Linked DNA regions of Rattus norvegicus. The protein of the gene in region 3 purifies or fractionates together with the protein of the main gene of each other region. This does not show direct contact. Links are inferred from orthologs where the notes say so. Each region holds a gene or a part of one and is shown on either strand. Other genes may lie near its edges.

Region 1 (6,583 bases), on a different chromosome or scaffold from region 3:
CCTTCTTTATGGGTGTTCCCTTCCCCACCCTCCCCCCATTGCTGCCCTCCCCCCAACAATCTAGTTCACTGGGGGTTCAGTCTTAGCAGGACCCAGGGCTTCCCCTTCCACTGGTGCTCTTATTAGGATATTCATTGCTACCTATGAGGTCAGAGTCCACGGCTTAGCATAGGTCTCTAATACCTCCTTGTATCAAGAACCTGGTGCTAGATTTTTTTTTTTTAAGGATAAATAGTTGCAATATCCACAGACATTGTTATAGGAAATGCTGCCTCTATCTGTGCAGGGATTCTCTAAGATCCCCAAATGTGAAGACCTTCCTTTCATGGTTTCAGTAACTCTCAGTTACAAAGCAAAATACTTCAACTTCTGACATTAGTTTTTACTCATAGCCATTAATGTGCTGGGAAACAGTGTTTGACTTAAATACTGAGTCAAGCAAAACCTGAGAAATAGCATTGTTAAGCTTTATGGATTTTCATAACTTGTGGCAAATTGTAGTCAGTAAGTTATAGAATGCCAAATAGATCTGTTGATCTGAACGGAGACCCTCAGCTTCATAAGACAAAAAGATGAGAGTGTTCCCTTTATTTCCTGCAGTGTCTCTTCTCTTCCTGTCCACACTGTACCAACACCCTCTACATTTCTCTTTTCTTGTCTATAATCAACAGTACCCATGAAACACCACATTCCAGAAGCACATTTGTCTTTATTTACATACTGTATATTTCCCATTGCCACCCAATCAATCACCAACTAAATCCAAATAACTTGTAAGTTCCTGGGTCCCAGGGGAGTCCCAAGTTTAGTCTTTGCATATCCTTCTCTCTACTATTCCTCCCATAGGGCTTTACATAGAAGACTCTCAATGAATGCAAAATTAACTGGTTTAAATTCAATTTTTAAATATTCTGCTGAAAAACATAAGACTTTTTTTTTTCAGTCTAACGATTTTCCCTATTTTGGATGTAAATGATGCATGCCACCAACCAATCTTTGCTAATGACAGTTTGTACACCAAAATGTTTCAATTTATGTATGCATTCTTGCACTGCTACCTATCTTTTGAAATATTGGTGACATTATACATAGAGCACTTCACGAAGAAATGCATAAAATCCAAGAACATTGCTAATTAATTTGTGAGAAGTTGAGAGATATCCCTAAAATTGAAGGGGCACTGGACAACCATAATTCTGTTCTGCCAAGCTCCTTATAGCATGGCAAATCTTGCTCTGTAATGGGGCTTCTCTCTTGTCATCTGTCTAAAACCTAGCTCTCTAGCATGTTGACGAAAAACCACAAATCACAATGCTATTGTGGTGGCACAGGCTTTTTTTGTGGCTGGCACTAGTCAGCAGTATCTGCAGGCTGACAAACCCTTTGGATGAGTACTCAAAAAGATTGTTAAATTTCACTTCCAGCCCCAAACCAGGAAGTACTGCCTAAAATGAAGCCAAGTCAAAAGCAATTCAACATCAGAAATGTAGGCTCCAGAAAAGGAGATGACTTTAAAGTCCGTGATTGTCTGCTGATTTGGATTAGAGCAGGCAGGCTAGCTTCTGCTTGTAAACCATTAGTACACTTACAGAATTGCCTATATAAATAATCAAATACAGGACATAGCACACTCAGAAGTACACAAACACTGAGAGACCAATTTCTTCTCAAGATCCTTTCTCTTATCTTTAGTTCGGATTTAGGCTAGAGTTGAATTAGTGACAGATTGCAGAAAAGTGTCTAATTCTCCAAATTCTTAGGAAAGGAAGTCTAGACCACGCCCCAGTTTAGCTCTCTGGTTACACAATGTCTAGATTGGTCTGGACAAGTCCACCCGGGAACTGCAACCTCCAGCTTCCCCAATTTGTGATCCACTGAGAACCCTGCAGTTTTGGGGCCAGTCTGGGGAGGGTCTTGTGTACGAACCCTGAGCAGAGGGCGTTAAACTGCAGTTCAGGGTTGCTGACAAATTGGGCAGTGAGCGGCCCACAGGAAGAGGAGGGCCTAACCGGGCGAGGGGGAGCTGGCCCGGGCTCAGGGCTGGGTCGGAAAAGCTGCCTCACTGCGCCGTTCCGCTCCACCGCCCCGAGCTCTGGCCTGGGCCTCCCGTACAATTTCTCTGCGCTTTCCCAGAGGCTGCACTCGCAGCAGTTTCACCAAATAATGTCCCGGCCCGGCCCGAAGCCCGCCGCCTCTTCCAGGCCCCGGCGCGGGGCGGCAGCTAGCCACACCCAGGAGGTGAGTAGTACTCCGAACCGAGCCGCGGGGCAAGCGGCAGGGGGCCGTAGTCCAGGAGTGCCTCGCAGCAGTTCTGGGGCGTTGCCCCTCCTTGGCACCTTCCAGATAGGAAAAGGATCAGAGCTCTGTGACTGCGGGCAAGCAGGTGGCCCCAGGCTCTTTAAATTTGGTAGTGTCACGAGTTGGGTGGAGGGGCTCTTGGAGCAACACGGGCTAGTGAGACCAAGGCAGTGCACAAGGCATGGAAGCAGAATAAAGTATACTCCGGACTTTCGGAGTGAGTGGGCTCGTACGGCACGGCAGAGGGCCTCTGCCCTCCATGTGAAGTCACCCCCCACCCCCACCCTCACACACTTTCCATGTAGGGAGTGGCGGCTGAAGAACTGACACACACCTCTTTCCTAATTAGCCAGATCGGACAGGGCGGGACCACGCTAGCTGTGGGCGGGTCCTATCGCTCCTTTCCCTTGTGCCCTCCCACCGGGCAGCTGCGTAACACCCTGTGCCCTGTCAGAAAGGTCCCAGCCAGGCAGAGAGTCGTAGTGGTGCCACCAGCACCTCACTCTTCGTCCTGGACAGCTTCCCAGCAGCGCGGCTCGGAGCACGTCAGGGTTGTCGCCATGGCATTCGCAAACTGGTGGTACAAGACGGTAAATAGAAGGGACCGAGCTTGGGCAGCACTGGGAAGGGAGTGTATTTACCTCGCCCCACTGGCAGGTTGAGGAAATATGGCATGAAGTTGGAGGGCCAAGGGTGAGACCGGGTGAGAACTCCTTGCAGACCTTCTGGTTAAGCTCGGGCAGAAGCTGGAGGCTCTCCCTTCCGTGGTATGCGGACGCATACTGGGCGGTACAGTCTGGGCAGCGAGGTGCACCAGGCTCAGCTCGCATTCCCAAATTGAATGGACAGCAATCCTTAATTTCTGCCCTTTGAAACACTTACCTGGATACATAGAAAAGAAGCACTGAAGCCCAGGTTTAGTTTTTCGACTGCTAAGTAAAGATAAAAACTTACAAAGAATGGTGGGTGAAGCAGTTTCAAACTCGAAAGAGGAGGATGGGGAATGGAAAAGAAGAAAAGATCAGAGAACAATTGTGATCAATTAATACTCTGGCGGGAAGGGGGATGGGGGAGAGAGAGAGAAATGAGTATATGTCACTACTCTGTATTACTTTGCAAGAGGACAAACGTGTTCCATTTGGTTAGTGGTTAGTCTGTCCTACCAAGTATGTGTTATACCCAGTCAAACTGGAACTTGTAATGTTTTGAAACCAGGAAGCATGGTTTTTACATTACATTTAAAAAAGAAAAAACAACAACAAAAACAAAAGTTTCCAACCCTTTGTTGACAGAGAGTCATGAGGTGATTTATGGTGAGAATTTCAAAATCTTAGGTCCACCTTCTCAGGAGGTGGTATGGACAAAGTAAAGATGCAGTAATCAGATAATCTTTGCATCTACAAACTTTGGGTTAGAATTAGAAAATAGGCATTGAGAACTGATTGATCATCTAAGTGTGCTAGCCTTCAAGTGCACTGTAGAGTTCTTAACTCAAGTGGCAATGATTTCAATGTGTGAGTCTTTATGTTTTCATATCTGTCAAATACCAAATATTTACATAAGGACTATTCAGCAGTAGACATGCCACATATGTGTTTTCAGTGATGTTTCTTCATGAATGTTCTCCCTTACACTTTTCTGTGCTGTTTAAATGTATAGTTTTATTAATTTGCTGAGAGCGTATGTTTGCATTGAGTCATGATTGTCCCAGAATTCTTATCAAAATGCACCCATTAAATTATCTGCAAATATGGGTGGCAGGTGTTCAACTAACATCAGATTTCTCTGTCCAAGCTTGGCGTTGTCTAAAGGAAATTGTGCCAGCTACTTAGATGAAGATAGCTTAGATCTTTGCTTTTAATACCTACTGCACTGTGTGAGACACTTTGATATTTTTGCCCAAATTCCACTACAAGCCAGTTTGGGGATTATTATTTAAGACTTCTGCTTGTGCTAACTTTCTAGAACTTTCAGCATGCTTGTGATCAAGTTTTGACTTTTCTCCAGCAGAAAAGTACTATGATACCCAAAAGGGCTTTAAAAATTTGTAACAGTCCCATTAACAAAAATATTTTAAGAAGTCAAGTATGTTAATAACATTTTTGTTAACTGGCTCTATCCTAGGTGACATTTAAGTATGTAATCATGTGCTAAAAATGACAAGTCACCTCTTTTTGTGCTAATTACTCAAAAATCTGGCTGTGCAGTTATGTTATACTCACAGTATCTCCCAATTCCCATATTTCAGAGTTTCACTTGCCACTGTGGCTAGTGAAATAACACAGGCAGGAAAGCTCTAAGTGGCTTGTTCCTAATCTTCTTTTGTTTTTATTGTTGTTGTTTGTTTGTTTGTTTGTGTTTTTTACATTTCATTTTGAGAATGAAATATAGTACTTTCTCTCAACAATATACATATATAATTTGCCTCTTCAAGGCATGCAAAGTCTGCACAAATCTTTCTCCAATGCCAATTTTAACATATAGATACATATAAATGCATATGTTCTTATATTCTGTGCATATATAAAATATGTGTACATATTTTCATATGTGCAATGTATATATTAAGTAGTTTTGTTTATGTGCCTATGAATAAAAGTGTGCTGTTAAACCCTTTTATCACATATTCAGCCACCAATCAAAAATAATTTTTAAAAATTGAATCTTCATTGAACATGTATCAATTTCTTTTGTCATTATTCCCCAAGCAATATAATATAAAAATGTGGATATGCCTTAATATTGGGTATCATAGAGCACAGGAAGACAGTGAATAGTTTAGATGTGAACATGCTATTTCATACAAGCCATTTGAGCATCTGCAGGATTTGATTTCTCAAAACATTTCTAAAACCAGTTTCCGAAAGATACCAATGGAATTCTACACACACCGCACACACATCCTTGTAGAATACTTCTAGTGAGTCCTATAATTAGAATATCCTTAGTATCCTTAGTAAGATTCTTTAAATACTAAAAATAATATGAGTGATCTAACTTTATACAGAATAAAAGTAGAGTAATGCAAAGATATGTTCATTTAAGAGCATGCTACTTGTAAAGCCAACCAAGGAAACATAATATTGTACATTTTCACACTGATTACCATCTGAATATTTTTGATTGTAGTAAAAACCAACTTTATAAAATTTGTTAAAAAGCTACATTTAGAGAATATCTGATGAACATCATAATTATCAGAACTCAGTATACTTGGCTTACATAAATAATTAGATTCCTGACTCATATCTTGATTCTGTTACCTTGTGATAATTAAAGGTGTTTTTTAGTTTATTTAGATTTATAGCCCCAGTGAGAGCATAATCAAGGTACTCAGTCATTTGGAAGGCTCCACCATTGCAGCTAGACTGGCCAAAGTGTTGCAGACTACCCATGGCAAAACAGACAACTTGGTTGCAATAGATTTTCCGGGGGCAAGGGTGGAGGCAAAATTATGAGGTCTGCATAAAGGCTGTAGTATAGTATTTAAGGCAGCAAGAATGAAGAGGTCAAAGGTCACAATTTTTTGATTGGCAGTCCCTGAATGGAATATTTTTCCATTGCATAAAAGTTTTTTAAAATGAGTAACATATGATGATATTGCTCTTTAATCAGTTTTAAACCTTCTTAGAAAGTTAATTATATTATTCAAGTGGTTGGGTTGGAAACAAAGGGTAGTCATTGAGAGTCCAAGGTGGACAGACAACTGGTAGTTAGTTCTAAGCAGGTTATTTCAGCATCAGCAGGGTGTCTCAGTCAGACTTCCATTTTCTCACTTTGGAATACTTTCAAGATCTAAATCTTATTAGCATGGCAGTAAAGTTCTGTTCTTCAAGTTGTTTCATTTTCCTTTTATGAAAACTTATTAAGACTGTGACTACCGTGAATTGGAAAAGAGTCTCATCAGTTAAGAAAACATTTTAAAACTGTTCCATCCAGTGGAGATGGAGAACCAGTTAATTCAGTCGGGGTGTGTGTGTGTGTGTGTGTGTGTGTGTGTGTGTGTGTGTGTGTGTTTTGGTGTGGGGGTGGAGGGCAGTCAGTATGCCACAATGTACATGTGGAGATCAGAGAACAGCTGGTGCACACAGTCCTCTCCTACCTGCGACGTGGGTTCCAGGAGTCAAATTCAGCTGTCAGGCTTTGTTTGGCACCAAGTGCCTTTTCCTACAGAGAATCTCATTGTCCATATTCTCTTATAATATTTATTTTGTCTCCATGACATCTAGATTGTAGGGGACACTCACTGATTTTTCTTTTTCATGGTTAATAAACCCTAGTAGCC
Region 2 (6,669 bases), about 120 Mb from region 3:
AGTTACCAGATGGTAAGTTGGATTGACAGAGGAACGATAGGAGAGCTCACAGATGCCGGGAATTGGGAGTCAGGGAGACAGAATTAGAGGGCAATATGGGTAGTGAAAAATGGGTTTTATTTTTGTTTGTATGTGTGCTTTGCTTGCATGCATGTCTTTGTACCACATTTGTGTTGGTGCCTTTAGAGCCAGAAGAGGGTGCTAGATCTCCTAGAAGTGGACTTCAGCTATGAGCTGCCTATGGGTGCTCAGAATTGAATCCAGGTCCTCTGGAAGAGCAATCCATACTCTTAATTCCTGAGTCATCCCCTAGCAAAGCACCCGTGAATCTTTCTTTGTTTGAGTCAAGGTCTCACTATGTAGCCCCATCTGTTCTCTGGAACTCACTGTGTAGACCAGGCTGGCCTCAGACTCAAGAGTTCAGCCTGCCTCAGCCCCCAGACTACTGGTATCAAAGGCAGTCTGCGATAGGCTCCCTGAAGCATTTTTAAATTGTTTTGAGATAGGGCCCTGTGGTGTAGCTCACCTGCCTTAGTCTTCTGGGCCCTGGGCAAGTATCATCCCGTTTACTGATGTTCTGAGGGCACCAAGCTGGTAGCCTCACCGAGTCCTGGGTGAAGGTGAGGACAAAGAGGACTTCCCAAGTGAGAGACGCCTGAGCTCCCATCCAAAGCGGAGGACACAGACAGTCAAATCCAAACACAGGAGTATTTGTAGGCAGAGGGCAGGGCTTGTGCCAGTGAGTTGAGCCTGAGGTCAGACTGCTTAGTGTGGCAGAGGGGTGTGGCAGAGGGGTGTGGCAGAGGGGTGTGGCAGAGAGGGAATCCACATTAGTCATCACCAAATCATTTATCCGCTCTGGCTTAGATCTGGGTCACCACCCTCTGTGATCCCGCCTTTCAGAGCTTCCAGTTTCGCTAAGGTTAAGTCTTGCTTCCCACACACACAGGCCTGAGCAACAATTAACCTGGCTTGCTCCCAGCAAGCCCTTAGGTGGTGTTAGTGCCATTGCAATTTTGTCCGTTGAGATCTTATTTGACTGATGATCACATTAAATTATTGGAGATTCTTTGAACAGGTAAGGCAGACTGGTTGTTTAACCTCAGTTTACCTATATATAGAATGGGGACAATAACAGCGTCTGTCCCACAGTCCTGCCGCGAGGGCACACAACCTGGTGAGCGCAGAGCACGGAGGAACTGGCAGTTACTTGTCGATATTGCTTAAGGATGGGCAAGAGTAAATGAGCTGAGGGATCGGGGTGAGCTCCTAGCTGAGGGAACAATATGGTGACCTGGGGACTAACAGGAGAGCTGCCATTTTCCCTGTATTTATCACTTAATTCTGGGGCTCATCCAGGGGAACCTGTGTCTAACGTCCTCGAGGGTCTCATGTAGCCGCCCCCACCTCCAAGGGCTGGTGTTACAGGTGTGCGTCATCACGCCTGGCTGTGTTCCCTCCTTACAGATGAGGAAATCATTACTCAGAGACACCAGGTCACTGTTTTAGGGATGAGCAATACAGGCTCAAACCAAGGTTTACATAGTCCCAACGGAGCGGCCAGACAGCCAGACTAGAAGCCAAAAGGCGACCTGGGTGGGAGGCACAAACTGAAGGTAAACTAAAGATTTAGAGTCCTAGCATTGGAGAAGCAGAAGCAGGAGGATTGCTTCGAGTTTGAGGTGAGCCAGGGCTTTAGATCAGCTTAGGGTGTTGAACAAAACTCTATCTCAAAGTGCACGATGAATGAATGAATGACAATAACTGAAGTCCTTTTTTGCAACTATATACTGCAAAGGTGACCAGGTAGCCTGGATCTAGTTCCTGGAGGCTCCAGTGCCTGGGCGTTAGAATGGTCTACTCGTACTCATAGCTATTAAATCTGGAGAGCGTTGAATTACCAGCAGTGTGTGTACGGGGAGGGCTGAGCTAGGTAGAGACACAATCATAGCCCGCTACGTAGGGCGGGGCCTCCTGCGCAGGCGCAGTCTGCAATGGCGGCTCTAGGACCGCGCGGACCGCGGCTGGGTGGCGAGCCGGCTTTAACCCGGAGCTGCCTGAGTCACCGGCCCCGCCCTCCAGAGCCGGACACAGCGGGAGGCCCAGCGGCGGGCGAGCAAGACCGCGGACCGCCGGATCCGTAAGTGAGACGGGGCGCTTCAGTCCAGCACCCCTGCACCCCGCTGCCCGGGATCCGCTGTCCTCAGATCTGGCGAGACCCTAAAGTCGTGGCCTTGGGGGTCTTAGGACCCGTGTTCTCAGATCCGAACAACCAGGCCTGTCAGACGCTGGTCATTCCCTCCAGAGCACTCCTTGCCATCCCGGAACTCAGGATCAAAAATATAACCCCAAAGATCAGAGAGGCACCCATAAATTATCTGGGGCGTCTAGAACCACGATCCGAGATCCTGGTTCCAATTTGCGGTGTGTAGAACTCCGTTATCCGGGATCCTCCGGGCGCACAGCCATAATTTTAGGCCGGAGTCCCACAGATCCCTAATGACAGTGTAGTTCCTCTGTCGAAACTACCTGAATGTCCTAATCCACATTAGGGACTTCCTGGACTCAGCCCTGGGTCACCCCTACCCTGAGCTCAATTCTGGAAGGCCTGGATCTGAGACACGTCCGGTATACCTTACCCAACTGGGGAGTGGGGGTCCTTACATGGGGAATCCCCTGTTTCCCCGCTGCCTCAAGACAGGGGTAATCCAGGCTGGCGCTGTAGCCGAGGTTGGCCTTGAACTGATCCTCCAGCCTCAGCCTCCCAATTTCTGGGATTACAGTTGAGCGCCACCACGCTCGTCCAGCTCTACCCCTGTCCTCATTGACCACGTTTGCAGTCAAGCCTGGGCCAGGGTACCTGCTAGACCCTAGGAGGTTTCGCACCTTCCTGTCACCTGTCCAGATTCTGCCCCCATCCCGAGGCCTCTGTTCTGTCCCCAATCTAATTGCCGGAAATGCTTTCTTTTTTTTTCTTTTTGCGGGAAGGGCTGGGTTCTTGGCAAGACGACTACCTGACCCACCCCCTTTTCTTTACAGGACTCTGCTGCAAACATGTTCTTGGTGAATTCGTTCTTGAAGGGCGGCGGTGGCGGTGGGGGAGGCGGGGGTCTGGGCGGGGGCCTGGGCAATGTGCTCGGAGGCCTGATCAGCGGAGCTGCTGGAGGCGGCGGCGGTGGAGGCGGCGGTGGCGGCATGGGACTGGGAGGAGGTGGCGGAGGCGGTGGAACAGCCATGCGTATCCTGGGCGGAGTCATTAGCGCCATCAGGTAAGGCGGGGCCTAAAGGGGCAGGGTGGGCCAAATTATAAAGAAGCTCACTTAGAGGTCCGACATGGGAATCCTAATTAGGTTGGGCTGGTCCAAACTGGAAAAGTGGCCCTAAGGGGATCCCAACGAGACTGGTGTCACTTTTTAAAAACTGGGTTAGTAAACTTGCTTCTGTGGGTCAATAAATAGGATGCAGTTTCTTGGGGGTGGGGAGGAGGTACTCTTCTGTGTTTGGGGAAGGTATGATCCTATAAGACTGTATCCAGTCTTCACTGGGGGCGGAGCCAGTGGATCTGAAGTTGCTCCATGATTTAAGATTTGACCTAAGTGGAGCTTGCTGTTATAGGAGAGATCAGAACCCCCGAAAGAAGAAATGGTCCAGAGAAGGTTGTGTGGGGTCGGGAGCTGATTGGGTTGGTGGATAAAAATCCTAGCTGGGGTAAGAGCAGGTGACTGACACCTGATTATCTTTGGCGATCCAAGCAGTGATTCCTGGGAGGAGTAGGTGTTGATGGGGGAGAGGTTGGGAAGCTAGATAATCTGCAAAAGGAGCGATGGAGTCAGGCTCTGGACAAAGACCTGACCTGAGGAAGATAGAGGCATAGGGGAAACTGGTGCAGACCGACCCCTTAAGAAGCGAGTTCTTCAAGGGGCGGGCCCTGTTAAGTTTGGTGGGTTTTCGGGATTTTGATTGGGGCTAAGATGCTTCTGACATTGTGATTGGTGGGTGTTCCTGGGGCAAGGTAAGGATTCTTCCGTGGGGTGGGCCCTTGGGAGGTGGGAGGGGTTGGCCTGATGGAGGAAAAGGAGGAGCCGCAGAAAGCTGTTGATTGGGCCAGGTGAGAACGACGAGATAGACGAGAGGAGGAGGGACCCCTTAAGGAAGAGGAGGGCTGGAGTTTGAGGGGTTGACTGACCGTTCTGCCGCCCGTTGGAGGCTCTGCCCCCATGCGCTAACTCACCCTTGTCTCCCCTCAGCGAGGCTGCTGCGCAGTACAACCCGGAGCCCCCGGTAAGCGGCCCTAGAGACCCTTCCTCCCTAGGCCTGTTGCCCGCATTATCTTACCCATTCCTATGTATAAGGCTCCCCTTCCTTCCTTGGAAAATTCCCCTGCCGGCAAGAATGTCCTTTTTGAGGGCCCCTATTGTCTCAGCCACGCTACTTGCTACACTCACCTCAAACTGCCCACCCCTCCCTGACTTTTCCCTGGGATCTTGGGTATGAGGAGAGAGACGTGTTTCTCCACGTCTGTTCTGAAATCGCTTCTCTCTGCAGCCCCCACGTAGCCATTACTCTAATATTGAGGCCAACGAGAGTGAAGAGGAACGTCAGTTCAGGAAACTTTTTGTCCAGCTGGCTGGAGACGTAAGTATACTGCGTGGCTGCTCCACGGTGTTACCTGACTGTGAAAAACCGGAAGTTCCCACCCCGTTTTGTTTTATGGTATCCAGACCTCTTTCCATCTCCCTTGAACCATACTTAACTTCTGCCATCAGGACATGGAGGTCAGCGCTACAGAACTCATGAATATCCTCAACAAGGTCGTGACCCGACGTAAGTGACCAGGGTCAGGGAGTGATGAAGGTGTAGAGGCGTATGGGCTGGGATGATCTTTGACCTCTGACCTTCAACCTGTCCACCCATCTAACCCCCCTCAGACCCAGATCTGAAAACTGATGGGTTCGGCATTGACACTTGTCGGAGCATGGTGGCTGTTATGGATGTATCCTTTTGGGGCCAGTCTGGAGGATGTCTTGGGTGAAGAGGGTGTTTTCTGGGAGTATGTTGAGGACAGACGAGGTGAAGCCTTCATACCTGAGGACACAGGCCTACCTACATGACACCACCAGAACTTTACCTGGATTAGGAGACCCAACCTTTACAGATACCTTGTTAGATAAGGACAATGTAATAGGAAAGGAAACAGGGTCAGAGAGACACAGTGGTTTTTTTTTTTTTTTTTTTTTTTTTTTTAATTAAAATTGCACCCTGGTGCATTGATTTTAATTTGGGAACTCAATCCAAGGCAGTTTCTCCTTAGTGGTGGCCCTCTGGCCCTGGACACACACACACAGACTGGGGGCCCGCAGAATAGCTGGAACAGCAAGGGATGGGACAATCAAATATCCATTCATCAGAGGGCAGCCAAGTCTTCAGTTCTGCACACCTTGCTGGTGATTGGGTGACAAGTTTCAGAGAGACACAGTGGTTTTGTCTCTGGCCAACCCACCCAGAACTCACTGGACTTGAATATCTGATCTTGGAAGCTAATCTTGGGGCTACTCGAGACTTAGATAACAGAACCAATCATTTGGAGAATACATGGCAGGTTAGGAATTTGGACTTGGGAGTTTCGATTTGAGAATCTAAGCTGCTTTTATTTCTCTATTTACTTTTAAATGATATTGATTGATTGATTGGTTTTTGAGACCGGGTTTCTCTGCCTTGGCCGGCCTGGAATTCACTCTGTAGACCTGGCTGGCCTCGAACTCCGAGATCTGCCCACCTTTGCCTCCCAAGTTACAGAATTAAAGGAGTGTGCCACCATCATGAGATTATCAGTTTTAGGTGTACTTATTTTATGTGTCTGGGTGTTTTGTCTGAATGTAATTATGTGCACCTGATACATGTCTGGTGTTGGAAGAGGACAAAAGAGGGTATCAAACCTCTCAAGAGTGTGTTACAGGGGGGTTGGGGATTTAGCTCAGTAGTAGAGCACTTGCCTAGCAAGCGCAAGGCCCTGGGTCGGTCCCCAGCCCCGAAAAAAAAAGTGTGTTACAGACAGTTATGAGCTGCCATGTGGGTGCTAGGAATCGAACCCAGGTCCTTTCTTCAAGAGCAACCTATTCTGTTAATCTCTCCAGTCTATATATCTATATCCATATCCATATCTATATCTATCTCAAGGGGCATAACTACATGCATGGTACATATGTTCACATATATACATCCCAAGAACATAACTACATGTATAGGATATGGAGGAATGTGTACAGAAACTCACATAAACATTTGCACATGGGCCAGGCAGTATTGAATCCTGAGTGTGTACACATACATCTAGCACACTTTACTCACTATCTCCTTAGCTCCTACGCCCCACCCCCACCCCAAGGCTCTGTGGGATCAAAGATGAGTGCCACCACTGCCCAGCTAAAACTTCTTTTATTTTTAATTTATTTTTATTTTGTGTGTATTGGTGCTTTGCCTGTATGTATGTCTGTGTGAGGGTGTCAGATCTTGGAGTTATAGACAGTTGTAAGCTGCCATCTAGGTGCTGGGATTTGAACCCAGGTCCTCTGGAAGACCAGCAAGTACAATTAACCACTGGGCCAGCTCTCTAGCCCCCAAGCTGTCTTTCAAAGCACAAGAGTTCTGCCTGCTTTTACCTGCTATGGG
Region 3 (7,679 bases):
CTGGCAGGGCAAGGCCACACACAGCCTTCACCCCTGGTTTCATTCTTCTCCAAGTAAGTTCCTTGCAAATGACATGGAGGATGTGGAGAAGCCTAAACTTGAAGTCTCCCTCCTGGGTCCCTGGAGAAGCGTGGTGTTCCCTAGTGGGGGAGTTCTTGAGCAATAGGGATTCTCCGTGGCCTTCCGAGCTGCAATGAGCTATGAGGAGGTGAGGTCTGGCTGGTTAACCCAGGGCACGGAAGCTGGGCCCCCACTGCTGTTCAGTCTACTCTGCCCTTCTCAGATCACGGCCAAGGAGCCAACTCCCGGGCCCTGCAGCTACAGCAGTACCACAGTGAAAGGAGCTGCTCTCAAGTCAGGAGCCCCTCCCCACTGAGCGCAGCCACTGGCTCCTGCACCACAGCGGGCTTTGGGGGGGCCCTTCCCTGCCATCTGAAGGCCATTGTTCTCACTGCCAAAATGATCTCTCAGTGGACCAGAAATCTCTCAGAAATCTCTCAGGTGATGTTCTTGTACCCTTAGATGGGACTGGAGGCAGGCACCTACACCTCTGAGTTAGAAGTCAGAAACTGTTCGAGTGAATACTGGATTGAGGAAGGGAAGGGTATATGGGCTGGGTCTCGCTCTGCCTCTTCCTAGCTTTGTGGGCTTGGCAGGTTTCCCAGTGCAATCCCATCATATCCCCTATCTGCATCTTCCCCGGCCCTCACTTAGCCCTAGCTGATGACCTCCACAGGATCAAGAGCTGCCTGCTTGCTTTCTGGTTGAACCACGTTCTGACTGTCTTCCCTCCTTCTGCCCTCCTGCCCGTGGGCCTCAAGCTGGCAGTGTTGACACTACCTCTCACTTTCCTCTTAACCCACCCACTCAGGTGTCTGCTCCAAGAACAATCGAGAGTCTGATGAACTTCAGGTCCTGGCTTGGTTTCTTGGCCTCGGGTGATGGGGGAGGGTCCAGAAGGCATCAGGCAGTAAAAGCAGAGGACCAGCTCCGCCCCCACCCCACCCCTGGCTGGTGGCCAGTTGCTGCCATCCTGAGCCTCAGTTTCCCTTCTGTGACATTCTTCTCCTATGGGTGTAGAGGGGATTGAATGAGCAGAGGCATCTGGAACCTACCGAAGAGCTCACGTGGAAAGCAGCTCTAGAGCCCATCTAAAAAATAACTTTAGGACCAGGACTGTTTGTAAGTGAGGCACAGTGGCCAGACAAAATGATGTACACCTGGGGCTGGGGATTTAGCTCAGTGGTAGAGCGCTTACCTAGGAAGCGCAAGGCCCTGGGTTCGGTCCCCAGCTCCGAAAAAAAAGAACCAAAAAAAAAAAAAAAATGATGTACACCTGTAATTCAAGTGCTCAGGAGGCAGACGCAGGAGGATCAAGGGTTCAGAGCCACCCCGGGCTACATAGTGAACTTGAGGAACAGCCTGGGCTACAAGACACCTTGTTTGAAAACCAACCAACCAACCAACCAACCGATGAGACAGGGCTCCTGCCTGCGGCTGCAGTCAGTTACACTGCCTTAACTGTTACAGCACAGGTCCTGCTCCAGAGACATAACGACAACCCGAAGAGTGACATCCTGCTGGGGGGGTAAGCTCAGTGGTAGAGCCCTGCTGCACCACAGGGTCAACCCCCAGAACCTCCAAAGCAAACCACAAAAGTAAATTTGTCGTTAATGGGGAGGGGAGGGCTGCCTAGAGGGGGTGACACTTAAACTGAACAAAACTGAACACTCATGGGAAGATGGCCCCATGCGGGTGTGGCAGCCCGGGCTGTAATTCCTGCACTTTGGAGGTGGGTTCTAGGCCTGGTTCCTGAGGATCAGAGGTCAGAAAGCTTGGAGGCTGGGACATTAGAAGCCAAGGCGAGGACTGCAGTTTGTTTTTGTCACTCCCTCCTCCCCCTCCCTTCCCCGCTCTCTCCCCTCTTCTTCCCTCCTCTTCCCTCCCTTTCTTCCTCTTTTATTTTGTGACAAAGGTCTTGTGCTATGCACACACTTGCCTAAAATTCAATGTATAGCCCGGGCTGGCCTTAAGTTTACATCAATCCTTTTGCTGCAGCCTCCCAAGTGCAGAGATTACAGGTGTGTAATCGTGTGTGTGTGTGTGTGTGTGTGTGTGTGTGAATGTGTGTGTATGTGTATGAGTGTGTGTATGAGTGTGTGAATGTGTGTGTGAATGTGTATGTGAGTGTGTGAGTGTGTGTATGTGAGTGTGAGTATGTGAGTGTGTGTGTGTGTGTGTGTGTGTGTGTTACTGGGGCTGAACCCAGGACCTTATGCATGCTAGGCATGGCCTCTTACTGATTATTTATACACTGAACCTCACATGAACATTTTGAAGAGTCCGCTTTTTATTTTTTTATTTATTTATTTAATGTACATGAGTACACTCTTGCTCTTTTCAGACCCTTGCTGGGAGTTGAGCTCAGGACCTCTGGAAGAGCTGTCAGTGTTCTTAACCACTGAGCCATCTCTCCAGCCCCCTTGAAGAGTCAGTCCTCTCACCTTAACCTTAGACATCTCAACAGTGACCATTTTTTTTAGTCTAAAATAGTATCTATTATTGTGTGTATGACTGTGTGTGTATGGTTGTGTGTGTGTATGACTCTGTGTGTGTGTGTGTGTGTGTGTGTGTGTGCATCAGAGGGTAACTTTCAGGACTTGGTTCTCTCCTTCCATCATTGGCTCCAGATCTCAAACTCAAACACACTGTAAGACTTTTACATCAGTGTACCCAATGGGCCATCTCAGTGGCCCCTCATGAGTTTCTTATGATGTCCTCTAAAAAAACAACAAAAAAACCCCTAAATAACTAAATATAAACAGACACCTATGTGAGTATCAGATATTTGTGTGTGTGTGTACATATGTTGACCTCTGACTTTGCTCCTAACACACAGCTCCTAAAATCCACACAATTTTGTGTGTGATAGAATTTGTCCCTCAGAGAAGTCCTTGGATTATTCATAAGGAGAGCAGGTGGAAGTCACGCTAATGAGGTTACAGGGCTGCTCATTTTAGAAAGGCCCATCTTGGGACTGGAGAGATCACTTAGTAGTTAAAGTGAGAAGATGGGAGTTTAAATTCTCAAAGTGATCAGGTATGGCAGCTTGCCTACAACTCCAGATCTGGAAGGCAGAGATGGGATCCCCAAAGCAAATTGTCTAAAAAGACTAGCCAGCCATTTGGTGAGCGGTGTGTTTGACTGAGACCCTCAGTGTGAAGGTGGAAGAGGATTTAGAACGGTTGTTTAGTCAACCTCTGACCTCCACGTGCCTACAGTGAGCTGAGCCCTCCCACAGCAACCATCAATCAAGACAACATTCCATGGGACGGTCTTTTTAAAATTTTTTTTTTAAATTTATTTTCCTCTCATACAGCACATCCTGATGGCAGCTTTCCCTCCCTATTCCTCCTCATCCCCCTAGAACTTGCAGGAGTCTTGGGGAGGCATTTTCTTAGTTAAGATACTCTCCTCCCAGTTGTCTGGGTGTGTGTCAACTTGACAGAAACAATCGGTTTAAACAGACAGAAGGGAGTCACGTGGGTGCCCTGTTTGTGGATGACATCTGAGGGGGGAAGAGTTATCTGTGGAGGAACCTTTAACCCGTGTGCTCTACACTAACCCGGAAAGTTAACAGTGAAGCAGGGGCATCTCTAGCAGGACATGATTTTGCCAGCTGAAGATAGTTTATGTTTGGAATTCTGGGAACTCTTAAGAGGGTGTATAAACCGAGGCCCCCTTTTGCCTCAATCTTCTTTCTCTCCTACCTAGCGTTGGGGGTTTGGACGGGCTTGGGGTGGAGAAGATTGGGATAGGTAAAAGAGTCTACCGTAAAATGGTGACTTCAACCCACCCTACTCTCATTAGCCCACTCAGGGCTAGAGTTGCATTTGATACATCCCCATTTCCCAAGAGCCCCTCCCCCATCTGCCAGTGAGTTCCTGTGGGTTTTAACAGCTTTACTGCAGTATAATTGGCACATAACAAACAACACAGACTTAAAATGGATATCTTGTTTCAATGTGTCATGTATCCACAAAACTTTTATAATCCGAAGAAATAAACATCTGTCACCCCACAAAAAACGTTTTCTTAAGGCCCTTGGCTATCCCTCCCTCTCACCCTTTTCATCCAGTACTCATCTCACTACCCAACACTACAGTAGTGTGAATTCCCCAGAATCCCCTGCTTCCTCCTGGGTGTTTGAATGAGAACGGCCCCCATAGGCTTATATGTTTAAATAGTTGGTCTCCAGTTGGTAGAACTGTTTGGGAAGGATTAGGAGGTGTGGCTCTATTGGAGGAGGAGTGTCAAAAGCCCATTCCATTCTCAGCCACTGCTCCAGTGCCATGCCTCCCTCCCTGCTGCTGTGCTCTCCAATGGGACAGTCATGGACTCACCCTTTGGAACCACAGCCCCCATAACTGCTTCTTGTCTAAGTTGGCTTGGCCATGGCATCTAAACATGAAATAGAAAAGCAACTAAGGCATCTGTCCCTTCTTTCCTCCTCCCCATTCTTCCTGCTGAGGATCAAACCCAGAGCCACATCTGTATTAGTTTTTGTTGTTGTTTTTGAGACAGAATCCTGAAGTGCCCATGGGAAGAGGCACTATTAGGAGATGTGGCCTTGTCAGAGAAAGGGTGTAGGTGGGCTTTGAGACCTAGTGCTCAAACTCTGCTCAGTGTGGGGCAGTCTCCTCCTGGCTGTCTTTAGATCAAGATGTAGAACTCTTGGCTCCTCTAGCACCAAGTCAACCTGTATGCTGCCATGCTTCTCACCATGATTATAGTGGACTGAACCTCTGATTCTGTAAGCCAGTACCAATTAAATGTTTGCCTTTATAAGAATTGCCTTGGGGGACTGGAGAGATGGCTCAGTAGTTAAGAACACTGACTGCTCTTCCCGAGGTCCTGAGTTCAATTCCCAGAAACCACATAGTGACTTATAACTATCTGTAATGGGCTCTGATACACTCTTCTGGTACTTCTGAAAACTGTACTCATATACATGAAATAAATAAATAACTCTTTAAAAACAAAGAGTTGCCTTGGTCACGGTGTCTCTTCACAGCAATAAAACCCTAACTAAGACAGAGGGCTTTGTGTAAGCTAGGCAAGAGTTCTACCCCACTGAGCTACACTCCCAGCTCCATTTATTTACAGATTTGTTTCCATTTTATGTTTATGATTGTTTGCTTATGTGTGTGTTTACCATTTCACACAATGCTCACAGAGGCCAGAAGAGGGCGCCAGAATCCCTGGAACTGGAGTTACACATGGTTTCAAGTACTCAAGTGGGTGCTGGGAACTGAATCACAGTCTTGCTGCTCTTGAAAGAGAACCATGAATTCAAGATGAGTTTAAGCTACACAAAAGGCTGTATCTTAAAAATTAAGGAAACTTGCCATTTTCCTTTTTTGTGCTCTGCTTGTTACAATGGTTGAAGCAATATAGACACAATGTTATTCCTTAAAGTCCACAGTTCACCATCAGGTTCATCCTTAATGTTGTTGATCTAAGGGTTTACAGATACAGTGCCATGCCCTGTATCCACCATGACTGTAGCTTCCTGGCCTTGAAAACTCACTGCGATCCATCCAGTCAGCCCTTTCTTCCCACCTTCTGGTAACCACTTTTCTCTTCATTTTGTCTTTCCCCCCATATTTCCCAGAAAATTTAAGGTCTAGAATCATTCAAGACACCATTTTCTCAAGAGGGTGTGTAAGACAGCTCAGTGGGCAAAGGTGCTTGATGCCAAACTCAACAACCTGAGTTTGATACCCGAACACACATGGTAGAAAGAAGAACAGAAACACGGACACTGCGGCTTATACATGTAAATAAAATCACTTTTGACTTACCAAGATACATTTAAGATCCAATACCATCGTCTATAGCTTTCAGCTCACTCCTTTTTTTTAAAAAAGGATTTATTTTATTTATGAGTGCCCTATCTGCATGTCAGATCCCATTGTAGATTGTTGTGAGCCACCATGTGGCTGCTGGGAATTGAACTCAGGACCTCTGGAAGAACAATCAGTGCTCTTAACTGCTGAGCCCTCTCTCCAGTCCCAGCTCACTCCTTTCTCTACCTTTCTTCCCTGGAGATTGAGCTTAGGGCTTTTTGCGTGCAAAGAAAAGTGGCCTAGCATTGAGCTACAGCTCTTCCTGGTCTTCTAGGGTCTCACTGTAGAGCCCTGGCTGACCTGCGACGTGACTTGTAGACAAGATTGGCCTTGAATTTGGCTCTGCTCCAAGTACTGATCAGGAATGTGTCACCATGCTCCTCTGCAGCTCAAGTTTTTAAGGCAGGGTCCAGCTAAGTGAGTGACTCAAGTTGCCAGGAACTCCCTCTATAGCCCGTGCAGGCCTTGAACGTGTGATCCTCCAGTTTCAGCTTTCCAGCTGCTGGGAGTACAGGTGGTGACACGCTTGGAGCTCCTTTTTTCTATCACTGAGTTTAAAGAAGCTGAGAAGTCCGCTGATCCCTCTGCCACACTGGAGAAAGCTGGGGGTGAGGGGGCAAAAGGCCATCACCTCTGCTCCTATTGTTGATTCCCCATGTGTGTGACAGTCATGAACCATGAAATGGGAACTTCCTTAATATGGACAGCAATTCGTCAGTCAAGTACCACCAATACCTCGGCCCCTGTAAAGGTCATCCATATTAGCCTGGCATTGAGAAGGGCTTCACCACTGCAGTCTATGCCATTTCTCCCACCCAGAAGACTATGGGCAGCCTTTCTGAGAACCTGTCATCTGATGGCCATGGGGATATCCAGAGCATCATCACGCAGAGGCTGACACTGCCAAGACTCAGTCAAGGCCAGCCCTGAACTGAATGAATGGGAAGCTCACTGGGTGTCCCTCCTGTGTCCAACCATAGTATCAGGATCCTACCTGCTAAGTTGCTGAGTACAATGACATCAGGAAAGTGGTAAGGAGCCAGGTGTGGTGGCACACACCTTTGATCCCAACACTCAGGAGGTAGACGCAGCCTGGTCTACATACTGAGTTCCAGGACAGTTGGGGCTATGTAGAGTAAAAGAGCTTGTTTTTTGTTTTGTTTTGTTTTGTTTAAAGAGTGAATCAATCTGAAGGGCATTCCCCGAGGACCAGTTTGTTCCTGCAGATTAAAAGTAGACTCCTTATTCTACCTTTTTTTTTTTTTTTTAAGATTTATTTATTATGTACACAGAGTTCCACCTCCATGTATACATGCAGGCCAGAAGAGGGCACCAGATCTCATTATCGGTGGTTGTGAGCCACCATGTGGTTGCTGGGAATTGAACTCATGACCTCTGGGAGAGCAGACAGTGCTCTTAACCTCTGAGCCATCTCTCCAGCCCTTATTCTACCTTTTATGCTGAGGCTGGCACCACCTTCAATGGCCATCTTGTCAAGTTAATTGCCTGGTGTGACAATGAATGTGGGTATAGCACTTAGGTGGTGGCACTTAGGGTCCACATGGCTTCCAAAGAGTAAGAGCCTCTGGGCCACCAGGTCAAGCAGGATTAGAAGAGAAAGAGAGCTGTATCTGCTGGGGTGTCCCTGCCCCTACTCAGCACCCAACTCCCAAACACACAGAACATCCCCTCCTTAGAGTACTACACCACGGATCCTCAATAACGTTTGTTCCCCTCCCTCCAAAAGGGACACCTGCCACCCTTTTTTTT

The links. Proteins that work in one complex are often made in the same cells at the same time.
Region 1: the proteins of Capn1 (region 3) and Cast purify together in Homo sapiens (co-immunoprecipitation; 4 studies listed by BioGRID and IntAct, counting the BioPlex papers as one, with this or other methods). This does not show direct contact. The link is inferred for Rattus norvegicus from reciprocal best matches to the Homo sapiens genes CAPN1 and CAST.
Region 2: the proteins of Capn1 (region 3) and Capns1 purify together in Homo sapiens (co-immunoprecipitation; 4 studies listed by BioGRID and IntAct, counting the BioPlex papers as one, with this or other methods). This does not show direct contact. The link is inferred for Rattus norvegicus from reciprocal best matches to the Homo sapiens genes CAPN1 and CAPNS1.

Annotation. Positions count from the first base shown.
Region 1 is NC_086020.1:5,812,420-5,819,002, reverse strand, and holds the start of Cast (calpastatin), read left to right. Parts: upstream 1-2,016; 5' UTR 2,017-2,163; coding exon 2,164-2,238; intron 2,239-2,707; exon of another isoform or gene 2,708-2,858; coding exon of another isoform or gene 2,859-2,888; intron 2,889-6,583.
Region 2 is NC_086019.1:94,577,655-94,584,323, reverse strand, and holds the start of Capns1 (calpain small subunit 1), read left to right. Parts: upstream 1-2,102; 5' UTR 2,103-2,140; intron 2,141-3,039; 5' UTR 3,040-3,054; coding exon 3,055-3,269; intron 3,270-4,247; coding exon 4,248-4,281; intron 4,282-4,545; coding exon 4,546-4,635; intron 4,636-4,766; coding exon 4,767-4,824; intron 4,825-4,928; coding exon 4,929-4,993; intron 4,994-6,669. UniProt on the Homo sapiens protein: Regulatory subunit of the calcium-regulated non-lysosomal thiol-protease which catalyzes limited proteolysis of substrates involved in cytoskeletal remodeling and signal transduction. Essential for embryonic development.
Region 3 is NC_086019.1:212,731,796-212,739,474, reverse strand, and holds the start of Capn1 (calpain-1 catalytic subunit), read left to right. Parts: upstream 1-3,340; 5' UTR 3,341-7,679. UniProt on the Homo sapiens protein: Calcium-regulated non-lysosomal thiol-protease which catalyzes limited proteolysis of substrates involved in cytoskeletal remodeling and signal transduction. Proteolytically cleaves CTBP1 at 'Asn-375', 'Gly-387' and 'His-409'.